Linked DNA regions of Rhinolophus ferrumequinum. The protein of the gene in region 1 purifies or fractionates together with the protein of each later gene. This does not show direct contact. Links are inferred from orthologs where the notes say so. Each region holds a gene or a part of one and is shown on either strand. Other genes may lie near its edges.

Region 1 (7,673 bases):
TGGCCTGGGTGGGGGGAGGATGGGGACTGAGAGTCAGGCCAGAGCACGAGAGGTCCCTTGGAGCCCGTACTGCTCAGCTCCTGCCCACTTCCCCCTCATCTTTCCCAAAGCACTCACCTTGGTCTGTGCAGCGCAGGCCCGGGCCAGCAGGGTCTTCCCCGTACCTGGGGGCCCATACATCAGTACTCCCTTTGGAGGTTGGATCCCCAGGTTCTCAAACTTCTCCTTGTGGTTCATTGGCAGAACAATGGCCTCCACCAGCTGCCAGGAAGAAGTCCTGGGTGAGGAGAGTGAAGCCCTAAGGGCTCCTACAGCCCAACATTTAATGGCTTCAACCCCAATCTGCAACCCTCCTGTTCCTGCTCAGGGATACTGCCTCTCCTTCCCCCATATCAAGAGAATGCAGAATGTTCACTCCCACCAAGGCCGACTAAGGTCTTTCCAGCAACAACAGGATATGGTGGAAAGACACTGAACATTGAGTTCCAGTCCTGGCTCTGGCCCTAACCTTCTACGACCCCAGGCACGTCCTTCAGTCTCTCTGATCTTAGTCTCCTAAACTGTTTCACAGCATCCTTCTTGCCTCCCTAGGGGGACTATGAGGATAAGAGGCATATTAGAGGGAAGTGCTCTGATCAATGAAACAGAAAAACACAAAAAGCTGGCGAGACTGGTGGTGGCTGCCACGCCTCCCTCACCTCCTGAATCTGCTTGTCCAGGCCCCCAATGTCACTGTATTGTTCTGTGGGTCTCTCGTCCACCTCCATGGCCTTCACCCGTGAGTCGTACTCTGTAGGCAGGGTCTCCAGGATCAAATAGGAGTCTTTGTTCACACCCTGGGGGCAAAACACAAAGCCTTCAGATTTGTCCTAGCTCAAGGCCTAATTAATAGGCTGGGTAACAGGTGTTTATAGAGTGAAAAGAATGATATGGGACTGGGCAACACAAGATTCAAAGAGCAGATAGACAGGATCTCACTCTCCAGGCTGCTCTGCCAAGATTCAGGACCAATAGTAACCTGGGCCTGGGTGAGGGGTTCAGTGGGAGAAACCTCATTAGAAAAGCTCTGCTTCGGCTCGGGGACACCACTCACCACCAAATCTCCCGGCTTCAACTTTTCAGCATCCACCAACCCAATCACAGGCAGGAAGTATGTCTGTAGGAAAGATTCCAGAAGCAGTCTCAGTTACTGCCCTCAGTAAGGTTCCCCAGTCCTTTCCCCACCCATGCCTCACCCTCCTCAGTTCTCCTATTGTTGAGTCAGCCTCACCTGCCGTGTAGAGGTTTTGATCACTGCACATTTGCCCTTCCTCTGTGAGTCCAAGTCAATATTGGCACCATCCTCCTCTTGGTCATTAGGATCAACATCCAAAAGCTGGAAAGGGATAAAGCTCAGATCAACAGGCCCTGCTCAGCCCACTGAACTCCCCAGAGCCAGGTGCTTCCTGGGCTGAGAGAGTCCCAACACCTGCAGGGCTGGCCATCCCTACCTCACTCCTCAGACTAGCCCTGAGCCCAGCAAGTGCAGCTGATCAACCAGGGGACTGAGAACATCTCTGGTTAGGTGTTGCTTCTCTGCCCCGAGGAAGAATAACCAGTAGAAAAGAAGACGAGTGAGGTTTCTGAGGCCTTTCTGGGCCCTAGAAGGGGTGGCCCAACATGCAATTTGGGCCTCAAAACTTCGACCACTCTTCCCCCAATGGCCCCATCGCCGGCTATCTCCAAGCCCCACTGACCCCTCTCTTCCCCTCCACATACACACACACCTCGATGACGTTGGAGACAAGGTATGGCAGGGTCTTGTTCACTTTGATTTTCTCACTGTTCTCTTTGATCTTGTCCTTCATAGCTTGAAGCTCGTGGGTTACTCGTAACACTTCGCTCTTCATAATCTGAGATGAAGGTGAGTGGAAGCCAATGTTCAGCTTTGGCTTTGTTTATCCCAGGGCCTTGTAATTGGTGAGGTCCAGGCTGCCCAGGGGACCCTCCCGCATCTGCTCACTCAGCTCTTAGGCTTTGTGAATGCTGAGCCTGACTACACCCACGTCCGCAGAGGTCAAAACAGGAGGCCAGTCTGGAGACCTCCTGATGAAGTAATTGTAGTAGAGGGAAAAAAGCAGGACTTTGAGTCAAACAAGTACAGGTTTTAGGCTCTGCCTTTCATTAAGGACTGGGTACTTCACAATAAAAACCTCTCTGAGCCTCAGTTTCCTCATCTATAAAATGAGGATTTCCTAAAAAGATTTCCGAGAGGAATACTTGTAAGACCTAGTTGAGAAAGGCAGTCTGATGATTCCTGCTCACATAGGCCTGGTCTCCCAATAGCCTGTCCCTCTTCTGATCTCTCTTAAGGCTTAGTTTTCTTTTCAATTTCCTGGTTCAAGGAGGAAACCGCGTCTGGGATAAGCAAGGCCTGCCTTGTACGCCCACCTTGATTTCACTGTCCAGCAGCCGTGTGCGCTGGATAATCTCTTCTGTGGACATCTTGAGCACCTCCTCCCCGATTCCATCTTGCTGTTAAGAAAAAAAAAACTTTTTAAAACTCAGGGCAGGTATCCCGCTTTCTCCAAGCTCACTTACAGCCTCAGTTTCCCCGCCCATAAAACTAGAATGAAGCAATCGGGACCCTTGCCCACATCCCAAGGGGCCCTACTCTGGGATCGGGCCAGATCTTGGTCCCCAGGCACCTCCTCCCTTCCTGCCAAATGCGTCTCCCCACTGGCCACGACTCCAGGACCCCCAGCTCTCCCAGCGCCCACCTCAGCCTCATCCCACACGGTCGCCATCTTCTCCTGCCGAGTCACGCTACTCTCAACTTTCGGCAGCAGATTCATTTCCTGGAGGAAAAGGCCGAAGATCGGACTGGGAGGAGTGGCGGGAAATTAATATTGTCTTTCTTAACACCACCTGTTGACTAGTGGCAGACCTCTTTCTTCAGGTCCTGACTCTTGACCAATTTAGCGGCGCGTTGCCATAGCGAATCTGCTTCTCCGATTCAAAAGATGAAGCGCGGGCCACAGGACCCGCCCCCGCGGCTACTGAAAGGTTCCCGCCCTCGTCCTGTTTTCGCCCGGCGCTAGGAGTGGGTGTGTTATTGGCCGGCGCCAGCAGTGGGCGGGACCTGGATATATAACCGGAAGGGACGGGGAAGGGACCGGAGTCGCAAGGGCCCTTGGGAAATGTAGTCCTCGTCGTGCTCGTAACTGAAAGGGTGCTTTTGAACGGGTGATTCAATCTCAGAGTCTGGCCCAGTTAGTAATTAGGGGATTCGCTCTGCCTCCCAAACCATAAACAACATATGCCAGCCGTGTGCAAAAGGCAAAAAAAAAAGGGGGGGGGCATGACACCTTAGACTGCATTTTTATAATTATTATTTATTAAAATACAACCTGGTCACCTTATTAAAATACAACCGGGTTACCTGAGAGCATCATTAACTAGTTAGTTTTAAAGAGAGAGATCACTGCTGCCACTAACTTCCGAGCAGGTGCCACAGAACTTCCCTGTGGGAAGAGAGCTCAATTGGCAATCAGCCTCTACAATTAAAAACATTATGGGGCCGGCCCGGTGGCTCAGGCGGTTAGAGCTCCATGCTCCTAACTCCGAAGGCTGCCGGTTCGATTCCCACATAGGCCAGTGGGCTCTCAACCACAAGGTCGCCAGTTCAATTCCTCAAGCAACTAAGATTGAACACGGCACCTTGAGCTGAGCTGCCTCCCGGATGGCTCAGGTGGTTAGAGCACGGGCTCTCAACCACAAGGTTGCCAGTTCGATTCCTCGACTCCCTTAAGGGATGGTGGGCTGTGCCCCCTGCAACTAGCAATGGCAGCTGTACCTGGAGCTGAGCTGCACCCTCCACAACTAAGATTGAAAGGACAACAACTTGACTTGGAAAACAGGCCTGGAAGTACACACTGTTCCCCAATAAAGTCCTGTTCCCCTTCCCCAATAAAATAAATAAAAAGTAATTGAGGTTAAAAAAAGAATGAATGTATCAACTTTACCCCCACATCTGTAATCATTTCTTTTCATCTCACTGAGTAGCAGAGATCTCTTTGGATCTTATGAGACTCATTTGCTGCACTTGTGTCCCCTGTTTCTAGAGGATCTCTACTTAACCCTCTGAGGTGAGGCCCAGGGCACTCCTAAAATGAACTTCTTGTAAGCCATGTAACATATTTTAAGTCAAACCAACATCGATAGACCCTAAACGTGGTGAAAATCTATCCACTGTTTTTCTTGGAATGCAGTTGAAGGCATTTCATTTGCAGCTGCTTGCTTAGGCTGACAAAGCACCCTCACAGATAATAGTATGTATTCCATCCTCTCAACCGCCCTGGCCTGTGGACAGACTGAATTATCATTGTCAATGTTATTAGATGAGGACGTGGAGGATCAGAGAGGTTAAGTGACTTGCCCAAGGTTGTTCAGTGAGTCAGTGTCAGCACTGGCGCTGCCAACTCCAAATTCACACTTTTCAGAGTTGCCTGACAGGAATCAAGAAGCCCAGTTGGGGAGGGAGCTGTCCTGTCTGTGCTGGTCTCAGCACACCTGAGGCAGGTGCATCCTGCTCTGGGGCCTACATTTGGAGATCCCAGCAGATAGGAATATGTTTAGAAAGCCTCCAGTCTGGGCCTGTGATAGGTGGTGGCAGGCCAAACTTTAGACAGGCTCCTCTGAGCCCTCTTTTCCACTAGTCTTGACCTTGGGCCCTGTCCTTGGGTCCTGTCCTCAGCCTGCCTCACCCAGTTTTAGCAAGAATCCTGCTAAGTCAGGTTATCAAGACCCCCTGATCAAGTTCCTCATCTCTCACCTTTGATATATAAATCCTTGGCCTGCCTTTAACAAAAATCCTGTTAGGCAAACTTAGCAAGAATCCTCCTACTGTGATATCTCCGCTTAGTAATTTTCTATCCACTGAACCCTCACTGTGCTTGTTGGCTATAAATCCCCAACTGTCTTTGCTGTATTGGGAATTGAGTTCAGTTCTATACTGAATTCTCTATCTCCTATTGCAATTGACACTTCTCATTACCTCCATGGCCTATCACTCCGATTCAAACAAGCATCATGTCTCACCCAGATTATTGCAGGGGCCTCTTCGTTAGTTGGCCTGCTTCTGCCCTAACATTCCTGTGATAGTTAATTTTATATGTCAATTTGACTGGGCCATGGGGTGCCCAGATAATTGGTCAATCATTATTCTGGGTGTTTTTAGATGAGATTAACATTTAAATTGGTACATTGAGTAAAGCAGATTGCCCTCTCTAATGTGGGTGGGCCTCGTCCAATCAGTTGAAGGGATGAATAGAAGAAAAGGGCTGACCCTCCCCCAAGTAAGAGGGAATTCCTCCTGCCTGACTGCCTCGAGCTGGGATCTTGGTCTTTTCCTGTCTTCGGCGTCAAACTGAAACATCAGCTCTTCTTAGTTCTTGAGCCTGCCAACTTTCAGACTGGAACTACATCCTCCTGGACATCAGGCTTTCTGACTCAAACTGGAACTAAACCATCACTATTCCTGGGTTTCCAGCTGGTTGATTCACACTGCAAATCTTTGGACCTGCCACCTGCCAATTCCTTATAGTAAGTTTTTTCACATATCTATATCTACATATCTGTATATCTATGTATCTATATCTACAGAGGGTGCCAAAAATATATATATGCACATTTTAAGAAAGGAAAACTACTAACATTATAATAATCAATATATACTGATAACAAAAGATGAATACAAGTCATGTTTGACTTCTGCAATTACAAGAGGTACTCTAAGTGGTTACGATCAGCGTCCAGACACTTCTGATTATGGCGAACTATTGCTTGAGCAACGTTGACCAAAGTGTCCACTTGTATACTTTTTTTTGGTACCCCCAGTATATCTATATATCTATGTCTATATCTTTATCTATATCTACATCTATATCTATATATCTATACCTGTATATCTATCTATATCTGTCTTCTATTGGTTCTGTTCCTCTGGAGAACCCTGACTAATGTACTTCCTAAAGTCTGTTATTTTGAAGAATGTTAAATACATTAAAAAGTTAAAAGAACAGACAATGAGTACCTGTATACCTTTCACCTAGATTCACCATTTGATCACATTTTGCACATTTGCTTTTTCTCTGTGTGTGTTTTTTTCTGAGCCATTTCAAAATAAGTTGCAATGTAGAATTACTGTTGTACACCTGAAACTAAAATAATATTGCATGCCAACTATACTTTAATTAAAAAGATAAGTTGCAGATGTCGACAAAAAACATCCAGCCTAAGAGAAAACATGTAAGAATTTATTTGAGCCAAACTGACAACAATTGCCGGAAAGCAAAATCTCAACAGTTTGAGAAATGCTCCGCGAAATGGCAGTTTGTAGCTTACTTTATACATAGAACCAAAGGAGGAAGGTTACATGGAATCCACTGGTGATAGATTAAGGGGGTGGGAGAAAGCAAAGGGGGCGGAATCTCTGGGACTGGATAAAAGCCAATTGGAGAGACAGGTACTTCTTTCACATAGGTGGGTACAGGACAGTTAATAGTTCACATAGAGATGTTAATCAAGGGACAAGAATAATAATGAGGGATTCTGTACTTTCCTGCTCTGGTCCAGAAAAAGGGATTACAAACATTCCAAGGACGTCATTTTAGGTGCAAAAAGACAATAGACAGGCCCTCGTAATGGCACAGATTAACTTTATGAAGGAAGCTTTTGGCTAAAGATATGACTTCCTACCATGGCCCACTTAGTTATGAAATTTTTTATGCTCACGCCATTTTATGTGGTTATTTTCAGTCTCCTGAGCTTGTCAGGTTTAACCTGTAGCCCCTCTTCCGTCCTCACAGACATCATGACACTTCACCTCTAAATATTCCAGCTATGTCTTCTAAGGATAAAGACATTCTTATATGTAACTATAATACATTATAGTCTAATTCATTGTCATACCTAAGGAATTGAATGTTGATACAATAATACCTAACAGAGTCCATATTAAATTTTCTTCAATTATCCTGAAAACATCCCTTACAGCCTTAAAAAAACTTCAGTAGCAGGTAGAGGATCACACAGCATTCAGTTGCCATATCCCTTTAGCCTCCTTTAATCTAGCGCAGTTCCCCGTCCTTTTTTGGTCTTTGATGACATTGACATTTTTGAAGCACCCAGGCCAGTTGTCTGGTGTAGTCTGTTTTCAACACAGCAACCAAAGGAATTCTTTTAAAACCTAGTGAGATCAAGTCACTCCTCTACTCAAACCCCTGCAGCAGCTGCCTTCTCATTCCGAGCAAGAGTCCTTGCAATGGCCCCCAGGGCCCTGGGTGTTCCCACTCCCCTTTGAATTGCACCGGGACCTGACTCCACCTCCCTTCCTCCCCGCCCACAGCTACAGGCCTCCTGCTGCTCAGGGACCAGGCCAAGCCTGCGCCAGTCTAGCACTCTATTCCCTTTTCCTGGAATGCTCTTACCAGGACGTTTGCTTGGTTCACCTCCTCACCTCCTTCAATTCTTGACTCAAATGCCTCCTTCTCATCCAGGCCCACCCTTACAACCTGTTAAAGCTGCAGCCCGCCGCTCCCTGCCCCAGCCCTTCCCCAGGCTCCTAGTCCCCTTACTACTCTTTTTTTTTTTTTTAAATTACATATTTTATTTTGAGAAAAACTTCAAATTAG
Region 2 (7,897 bases), about 35 Mb from region 1:
TTGGTATGTTAAGTAATTGGCCCCAAATCACCCAGCTAGTAAGTGGCATAGTGGGATTTGAAAGCACCTAACAGGGATTGAGAGCAGACTTTGGAACCAGACAACGTGGGTTAAATGCTCCATAAGTTAGGTAAAGCCTCAATAAATGCTAACAATATTTATTATATATTATCTCATTTAATTCTTTCAATGTACCTATCAAGTAGGAATTATCCCCATGTATTTGAGGAAAGAGGCTTGGGTGGCAACAGAGCACCCTTTGCCCAAATACACTGTTACCCACCCAGTGTTAGCTCCCTGTTAGGGCCGGAGCCCTCCAAAACTTGCTCCCTCCACTTTGCTGGTTTGGAAGCCATTCCTCCTGCTAAGGAGGTCCTTCTACCCATCTTCTCTGCTAGACTCTCCCCACCTCATGGCCTATTATTTCTATCTTAATTATACAAGTTAATATATAGATACGTTCCTGTTGTAAAAGATTTAAAAATGTAAGCAAATATAGTCCTTATTGATGGAATGACGGTCACACTGTGACCATTTATTCACTCTTATACACAATGAACATCATGGTACATTTTATAAAAATATATTTAAGAGGATTCCTAATAAATGCTGTTTAAATATTTAAAATATTTATAGCTCCCACCATATTGCCCTCCAAAAGCTTTACTAAATTATGATCCCTTCAATAGCGTGAATGTGTGTTTCTCTCCATCCCCACCAATACTGGTCATTATAAATACTTCTGATTTTTGTCAAGAGGATCAGCTAATAATACTGTTTTTAAATTTTGCATTTTTCTTATCAGTGATGTGAAATATATTTACATTTTCCTGTTTTGGGGGCATATTTAACTTTGTTCACTTTTCAATTGGGTAGTTTGCTTTTTCTTTCTGATTTCTAGGTACTTTTTGTTCCAGCTGGTAATCCTTCCCGTTATGATAGAAATGGGTATTATCTTTAAAGGTTCAACTCAACTAAATCCCTTCTCTTCTCTGAGATTCTTGCTGAAAGCTCTAATCCACACTACTCCCTCTGATGACCTACAGCACTGAACAGATTCATCTTTATATACCATGTTTCCCAGAAAATAAGACTGGGTCTTATATTCCTTTTTGCTCTAAAAGACACATTAGGGCGTATTTTCAGGGGTTGTCTTATTTTTTTCATGTACAACAATCTACATTTATTCAAATAGCCATGTCATCATCTTCTGGAACATCGTCATAACATACTAAATGCGCCCGTCTGGCTGACCATCTTAACTGGGGCTTATTTTCAGGGTAGGTCTTATTTTCGAGGAAACACAGTATACACCCAGTCATTCCCTTCCACTTGAAAGCTGAAATTGGATTCTATTTTTCTTTCAACTGGTATTCCTCCTATCTTCTCCCCTCTTTTCTCTTTTCTCCCCAAATACCAACACAAAAGTAGTATTAGGGCCTATTATACTTCACATTTGTGCTTCTCACACACACACACACACGAAATATTACTGATGATGAATGTCCCTTTGGATCCCAGTTTCTATGACAGGGGTCATTCCCCCAACTCCCTCGCCACTCCCAATCCTTACAGGGCTAGGCAGAAAGTAATATAATGGGTAATGTGGTTTCATGGAAACAAAATGAGAAATGGTGGCAACTACTGTTAACCAGAGAACACAACCACCTAAAAGAGAAACCTTATTCAGCTCTAGCAAATTGTTGTCAAGTAGGAATTGAAGCTCCATGATGACAACTTCTCTATTTTAAAAGTGGAAAAATCTGTATTTTATGTTAAATGTACTTTTTAAATGTCAAACCAACATTGTGTGTGTGTTGGGTTGGGAGTGTGTAAAGGTCAGACTCTGCATCTATTAATTCGACAGACTCTGGCATAGAAGAGGCAGTTTGTTTATTTTCCCATTTGCTTTCTTCCTTCCATTAGACTGAATGAAACATCCAGGACAACTTGTGAAAGATAAAGTCATTTATATCACTGGGCAGGAATTAGTTCCAATGTTGTTTTATTTCTGTCTCTCAAACTAGACTAAGCAACATGAAGGCAAAGATCACATTATTCATCACATCAGCTTCTAACAGTGCCTAGAACATGAGAAGTTCTCAGAAAAACTTGTTGTTGAACCAAAGACTGAAGAAATGAAGACCTGAATAGATAGCCAATTTACCTTTAGATTGTAAATATACTTGCAAAATTCAATGTCCACGTATCAGCTCAGTACTTGGCACACCGATCCAAGATGGAGGTTAGCAGAGCAACCCTTAACCCCACTGTGTTTTACATGGTGAATATTGGTCAGTATTTCATATTTGTGCAACAAGACGGGTAAGGATGTATAGGATCTCGCCATGAAAATCCGACAGCTCTTGATGGCAGTCCTGTGCAAACCCATGGCTACCTGGCTCTCAACCTCAGTCCCAAAGACCATCCCCAAGTTTTATACCTCTTGGCCCACACTTCCAGTTTAGGATTTCTTCCTCCCATGACCTCGCTGGGTGCTAGTTTCTTCAGGCCATGCTCTGGGGACAGACGGTTTGGGGTGTCAGCTGTGGGCACTGCCTTGCTCCTTCCTCCTCTGCAGCTCCTCCCGCCGTCTCGCCTGCTGTTCACTCATGCAGTCCCTGAAGGCCTGCACCTGTGGCTGGCACTGTCGCCAGTCCTGGTGCGCGGCCATGCACTCCTGCACTGCATAGTGGGACGCTGCACAGCCAGAACGGGAGATGAGCTGGTCCAGGGGGTCCTCTTCCTCACCCTCCTTCTTCACCTGTCGGGCCCAGGTATGGCCTTGAGTTGACATCTTTGGGAGTCTCTAGACATCAATGGAGGCAAGGTTAGAGTAGGGACATGATTATATATGAGGTTCCTCTTATAAGTAACACTGAACACTGCACGGTTATGGCCTATGTATACAAATGTCTCCCTTTGGAGACTGTAAGCTATTTGCAGACAGATAATCGGCCTGATTCAACTTGATGCCCCCAGCACTAGTCCTGGCAGAGAATAGGCCTGCAAAATGATCTGAACGGAATGGAATGAAGCAAAGCATGTGAGAATGCTTAGCACAGCACTAAATAAGCTCGAATGGATTCCTCTAATAGAATTTGAATTGGGTAAAATATCACCTTTCTGGAGAAGCTATTTCTGATTCACCCTCAAAAGAACTAATCTCCCTTCTTCTATTGGCCTTATTCTATGGCTTGAGAAGAACAAAATTTAACACTTGGGAGAGTACCCAAATATGGTAGGGTTTGACATGTGGAATGGAGAGAGTTGTGTGGCTACAGAATACAGCATGCAGCGGCCCCGGCAAGAGACGAGTCTGTGAGGTAAGTAAGAGTACTTCATGTGAAGTGTGTTTGCCCAGACTGTCTTCCCAAGACCATCTACTTCAGAATACCCAGCAGAAGGTAGCATAAAGAAGGAACTTAAGAAAGAGATGAAGAGAAATGGCCTCAGCCTTTGTATAAATTTCACGATGACTGGCTGTAAAGGAGCTAGGATTCCTTAATGCCTTTCCTGTGTCTCTGATTCATTCAGCAAATCATCACTGAGTACTCATCATGTACCAGGCACTATGCTGGAGTTGAGTATACAGGAGTGACCAGGACAGAAACCGTTCCTGCCTTCATAGTTTACAATCTAGGCAAGTAAACAGCCAGTTTACTATACACTGTATACAGAGAGCTCATGCTGGGAACACAGTGGAGGAGTGATACCTAATCCAGACAAGAGAAACAGGCAGGGAAGGCTTCCTGGAGGAAGTGATTTATAAACTGACAGCTGAAGGATGAATAGGAGTTAACTAGAGATGGAAAGGAAGAACAGGGTGGTCAATGAAAGAACAGGGTGGGGGGTTGAAACAATTTGAGAGGACTGGAAAGTTCTGTATGACTGGAAGCATAGAATATGAGGAGAAAACAAAAGAAACGAGAAAGTATCTGATCATAACCAGACGTTGTTAGCCATGTTAACGCACTTAGAGCGCCAAGGGGAAGTCACAAGGATTTAAACACGCTAAAGCCCTACATAAAACTCATTTGCTTTGGAGGCAGTATAACTTGAGGAGGGGGGAAACGGGCTTTGAAAACAGACGGGTTGGAAATCTAGCTTTGTCACTGACATTTTGAGTGACCCTGAGTAAATTACGTCATAATAGTCCTATTACTATACGTTTCCTCTTCCTAAATACACAGTGAGCTCTTTAAAGGCAGGTGGCAAACCTCTTAGAGCAAGCACAGAAAAGTGGCTTGGATCTTAAGCCAAGAAATCCGGGTTCGAATACCAGCACACGCTTTATCTTGCAATCTTTTTTAGTTTGCTCCTTAAGATAATATTTAACTCGCAGAATTACTGTATGAATTAACATAATGATGCCAAATGCATGGGCTACAACAGGACTCAGTAAACGCTGCCGTACGCTTTTCCCCACCACATCCCGGCTTCAGCCTCCCTTGGAGTAAAAAGACCCTTGCTCAGAGATAACGGCAGGTTAGATGGTCGGCACCTGGATCGGGAGCAGGCTTGGACCAGAAAGGCATCGAAAAAACCAGAAAGCAAAGATACCCAAGTGGCCAAATCATCTGAAGCTCCTCTCCCACCTTCAGGAGAGAGCGCATGCGCCCGCGCAGCCACCGGGCGCGCCCACGTAGTGCCCGTTACGTTTCAGAGTGCAAAGAAGCGGCACGCAGTGCTCACCGAACAGGCGGACGGACAAGAAGACCCGAATGTGCGTTCCAGCACGTCCACTTCGCAGGCAGTTGGAACTCTTCCGACCCTCCGGGAAGGAACCAACCTCTCAGGAGCGCGCGCGCGGAAGGGGGAGGGAAGGGAAGGGACCCACCGCGCATTTTCATTGGTGGTCTCTCTTTGTAGCTCCCGCCCCCCGCGCTACTTCCGGGAAAGAGCGGAAGAGGCGGGCTAGTGGAGGAGGGGTCAAGATGGCGGCGCCTTTGAGGATTCAAAGCGACTGGGCTCAAGCCCTCAGGTGAAACCAGTCCCAGAACCCGGACTGAGGAGGCGGGTAGCGGATGTTGCCTTTTCGTTAGGAGAGTCATGCCCGATCCAGGATATCCATAGGGGTTACCTCATCAATTATTGAGGGAGTATTGGGTCTAGAAAACGAAGTCTCAAACCCACATGGTTATTTTTCATTCTCTGAAGAGCTATCCTGAAGCTAGGGAAGCACATCAGAGCTGTGTGATCCCAGCATCAGAACTAGGATTAATGAGTTGTAGAAAGACAGGAAAACTGGGAGGCAGGAGGCCAAGTAGTCAGTCATTTAACAAATATTTATTGGTCGTATTTATTTGCAAAAGTTCCAGTACTCACCACCACCAGTAATTGTCTTTTACTGTGTGATGGAATCTTTGTATCCTTCTCGGTCCCTAATGGTATATTAGTCATATTGGACCATTCTACTAAACAATGTAGCACCTACCATGTCCAGACTCTGACCTAGATAGATGCTCCATGCAGTACAGTGTGTACTCTAAACTTAAGGGGTGGTTCCTGCTCTCAAGTTGACAGCTTCGTTGGGAATACACAGCAAACCATTCATTTATTTAACATATTTATTGATCATATAGTGTGCGTTCACCAGGATGAGTACAGTAGTGCCATGAATGACAATTTTTATTACTAATAAGGATTTTCAAATTGAAACAATGGTGAAGATGAATAAAACATTCCTGTATTTAAGAAACTTACACCTTACTATAAGTGGGCTAAAATAAAGTATACATTACTTACTATAACACAGAATGTGTGAAAAGTAATAAAGGAAAACCACTAACATTTATTGAGGGCTACTAGGTACCTATGGGAGAATGCAGGATCAGAATCTGAGGAAGTAACTTGCTCAAGATCATGCAGCTAATAAGTGATGGAGAGTTGCTGGCAACCTATGTCTTTCTATCTTAAAAGCCTAGTCCTTTTCTGCTATACTCTAAGAGTGTATAGGATGCTGAGATAACGATTTGGATGATTGGGGAAGTGCATTCTAAAACATGAAAAGTCTGAGGTGCTAGAACACAGACATTGTATACTAGTCCCAGCTTTCATTTTCTGCTTCATAGCTAGGCAAGTCATTTCTCTCTGAGCTTCAGTTTTTTTAACCTTTAACCTGAGGATTAATAAAAGATATCTTGTTAAATTGTTGTCAGGATTAATGATGCTATATGCAAAGTGTCTAGCACAGGGTCTGGCTTACAATAATCCCAATAAATATTTATAAACTATTCCCGATTTTTCAAAGCTGTGCAATTACAAATGAATAGTGACTCCCTATTGGTGAAATATTTGCACTTCATTGAACCAACAGATATATGTATTAAACGCTTAATCCACAAATATCTTCAACAACTAAAGTTTGTCTTAGAATAAGACAAACATGACTGGATGAGATATTGGACTTGATCATGTCTAAGTAGTATGGCCAAACTGGAAATTATATGATCTTCTTTCTCCCCTTGTACCAGTGGCATCCTTTTGTGTTGAGTGAGCCTAATTAGGTTTTTGTCTCTCTTCATAGGAAGGATGAAGGGGAGGCCTGGCTGAGCTGTCACCCCCCAGGTAATGTCCTTAAGTCTATATGCATTCCCTTTAGAGTAAAAGGATTTACTACCCCTAGAAGAGAGCTTCCTACTTTCTCCTGGCCCAAACTCCTGGCACAATGCTCATAGTCTTCAAATGTTTTTGACCAGTCTGTGATCAGACATCACCCCATCTCCTCCATTCTAGGGGAAGGTCTTCAGATTGGTTTTCCATTTGGAAGCTATAAACTTATTCATGGAGACGCTGCTGATACAGCTAAAACAGTCTCTTGGCTATATATTATTTTATTCTAAATAGTTGTATAGCTTCAAGTGTGACCTTCCTGATGATTCCTAGATCTATAGCTCTAGCCCTGGTCTCTCTTCAGTTTCAAGCAGAGATCGAACAGTTGTCTGCTAGCTGTTTCTGCTTGGAGCTCTCAGTGTCATCTTGAGTTTATCACATCCAGAACCAAGCTGAGCACTTCTGTTGTCAAACAGGCTTCTTTCTTAATTTTCTCATTTCTAAAGTTACCATCCTTCTAGACATCAGAGTATAAAATCGAATCACCCTACCATATCCAGAGTTTCCACGTCTTAACAATTTTCCCTTGAAATGAAACTCCTGTTATTCCCATTCATTTGTTTGCAGTTAGTGTGGTAACATTAAAAAAAATTCCAAGTTTGTGAGAATGTGTTGTTTTACTGATTATTTTGCATTTCAGATATCTTTGATGTCTTTATATAATATATTCTATTTCTATGAGAAATAGTTTGAAACAGTTTTCTTTTGAGGAAATTGGTGCCGCATGGAAGAGAGGATAGTAACTCGAAGGTTTATAGTCAAGGTTTTGTTTTATTGTTAAGATGGGAATTAATTGGAGAACAAGTAAAATATAGGTTGTAGGTAGAGGAGAGAAGGACTAACAAATACCCATGTCTTAGGGGAGAGAGAAGGAAATTGAATGAAGTCTAAAAGACTAAGATGAAAGAAGGTGAAGGTAAATGCAGATGTAAATAAATGCATAGGCATGGATGTGGAAATTTGTGAGTGTCCTATAGCCTCGGTTTTCTTTGTGATATTGGAGGTAGGGTCAGCTCTTAAGGCAGAGGGCTCTTTGTTTTATTCTTAAAATAGTTTTATTGAAATAAAATGTGTGCTATCTGTGTGCTAGATACTATACATATATTTGTATTTCTCAGAACCCTATGAGGTAGGTACTATTAGGATTCTCATTTAAAAAAAATAACAGCTTTATTGAGATATAATTCACATACCATTACATTTACCTTTTTAAAGTGTACGATTCAGGGGATTTAGTTTATTCACAGAGTTGTGTGTCTATCACCACTATCAATTCCAGAAC

Evidence for each region. Proteins that work in one complex are often made in the same cells at the same time.
Region 2: the proteins of PSMC3 (region 1) and PAAF1 purify together in Homo sapiens (co-immunoprecipitation; 6 studies listed by BioGRID and IntAct, with this or other methods). This does not show direct contact. The link is inferred for Rhinolophus ferrumequinum from reciprocal best matches to the Homo sapiens genes PSMC3 and PAAF1.

Annotation. Positions count from the first base shown.
Region 1 is NC_046294.1:13,797,540-13,805,212, reverse strand, and holds the start of PSMC3 (26S proteasome regulatory subunit 6A), read right to left. Parts: upstream 3,014-7,673; 5' UTR 2,835-3,013; coding exon 2,760-2,834; intron 2,515-2,759; coding exon 2,431-2,514; intron 1,893-2,430; coding exon 1,767-1,892; intron 1,376-1,766; coding exon 1,271-1,375; intron 1,157-1,270; coding exon 1,094-1,156; intron 837-1,093; coding exon 699-836; intron 262-698; coding exon 118-261; intron 5-117; coding exon 1-4.
Region 2 is NC_046294.1:49,005,899-49,013,795, forward strand, and holds the start of PAAF1 (proteasomal ATPase-associated factor 1), read left to right. Parts: upstream 1-4,893; 5' UTR 4,894-4,937; coding exon 4,938-4,984; intron 4,985-6,529; coding exon 6,530-6,570; intron 6,571-7,897. Other genes in the region: cytochrome c oxidase assembly factor 4 homolog, mitochondrial, read right to left, coding at 2,543-2,797. UniProt on the Homo sapiens protein: Inhibits proteasome 26S assembly and proteolytic activity by impairing the association of the 19S regulatory complex with the 20S core.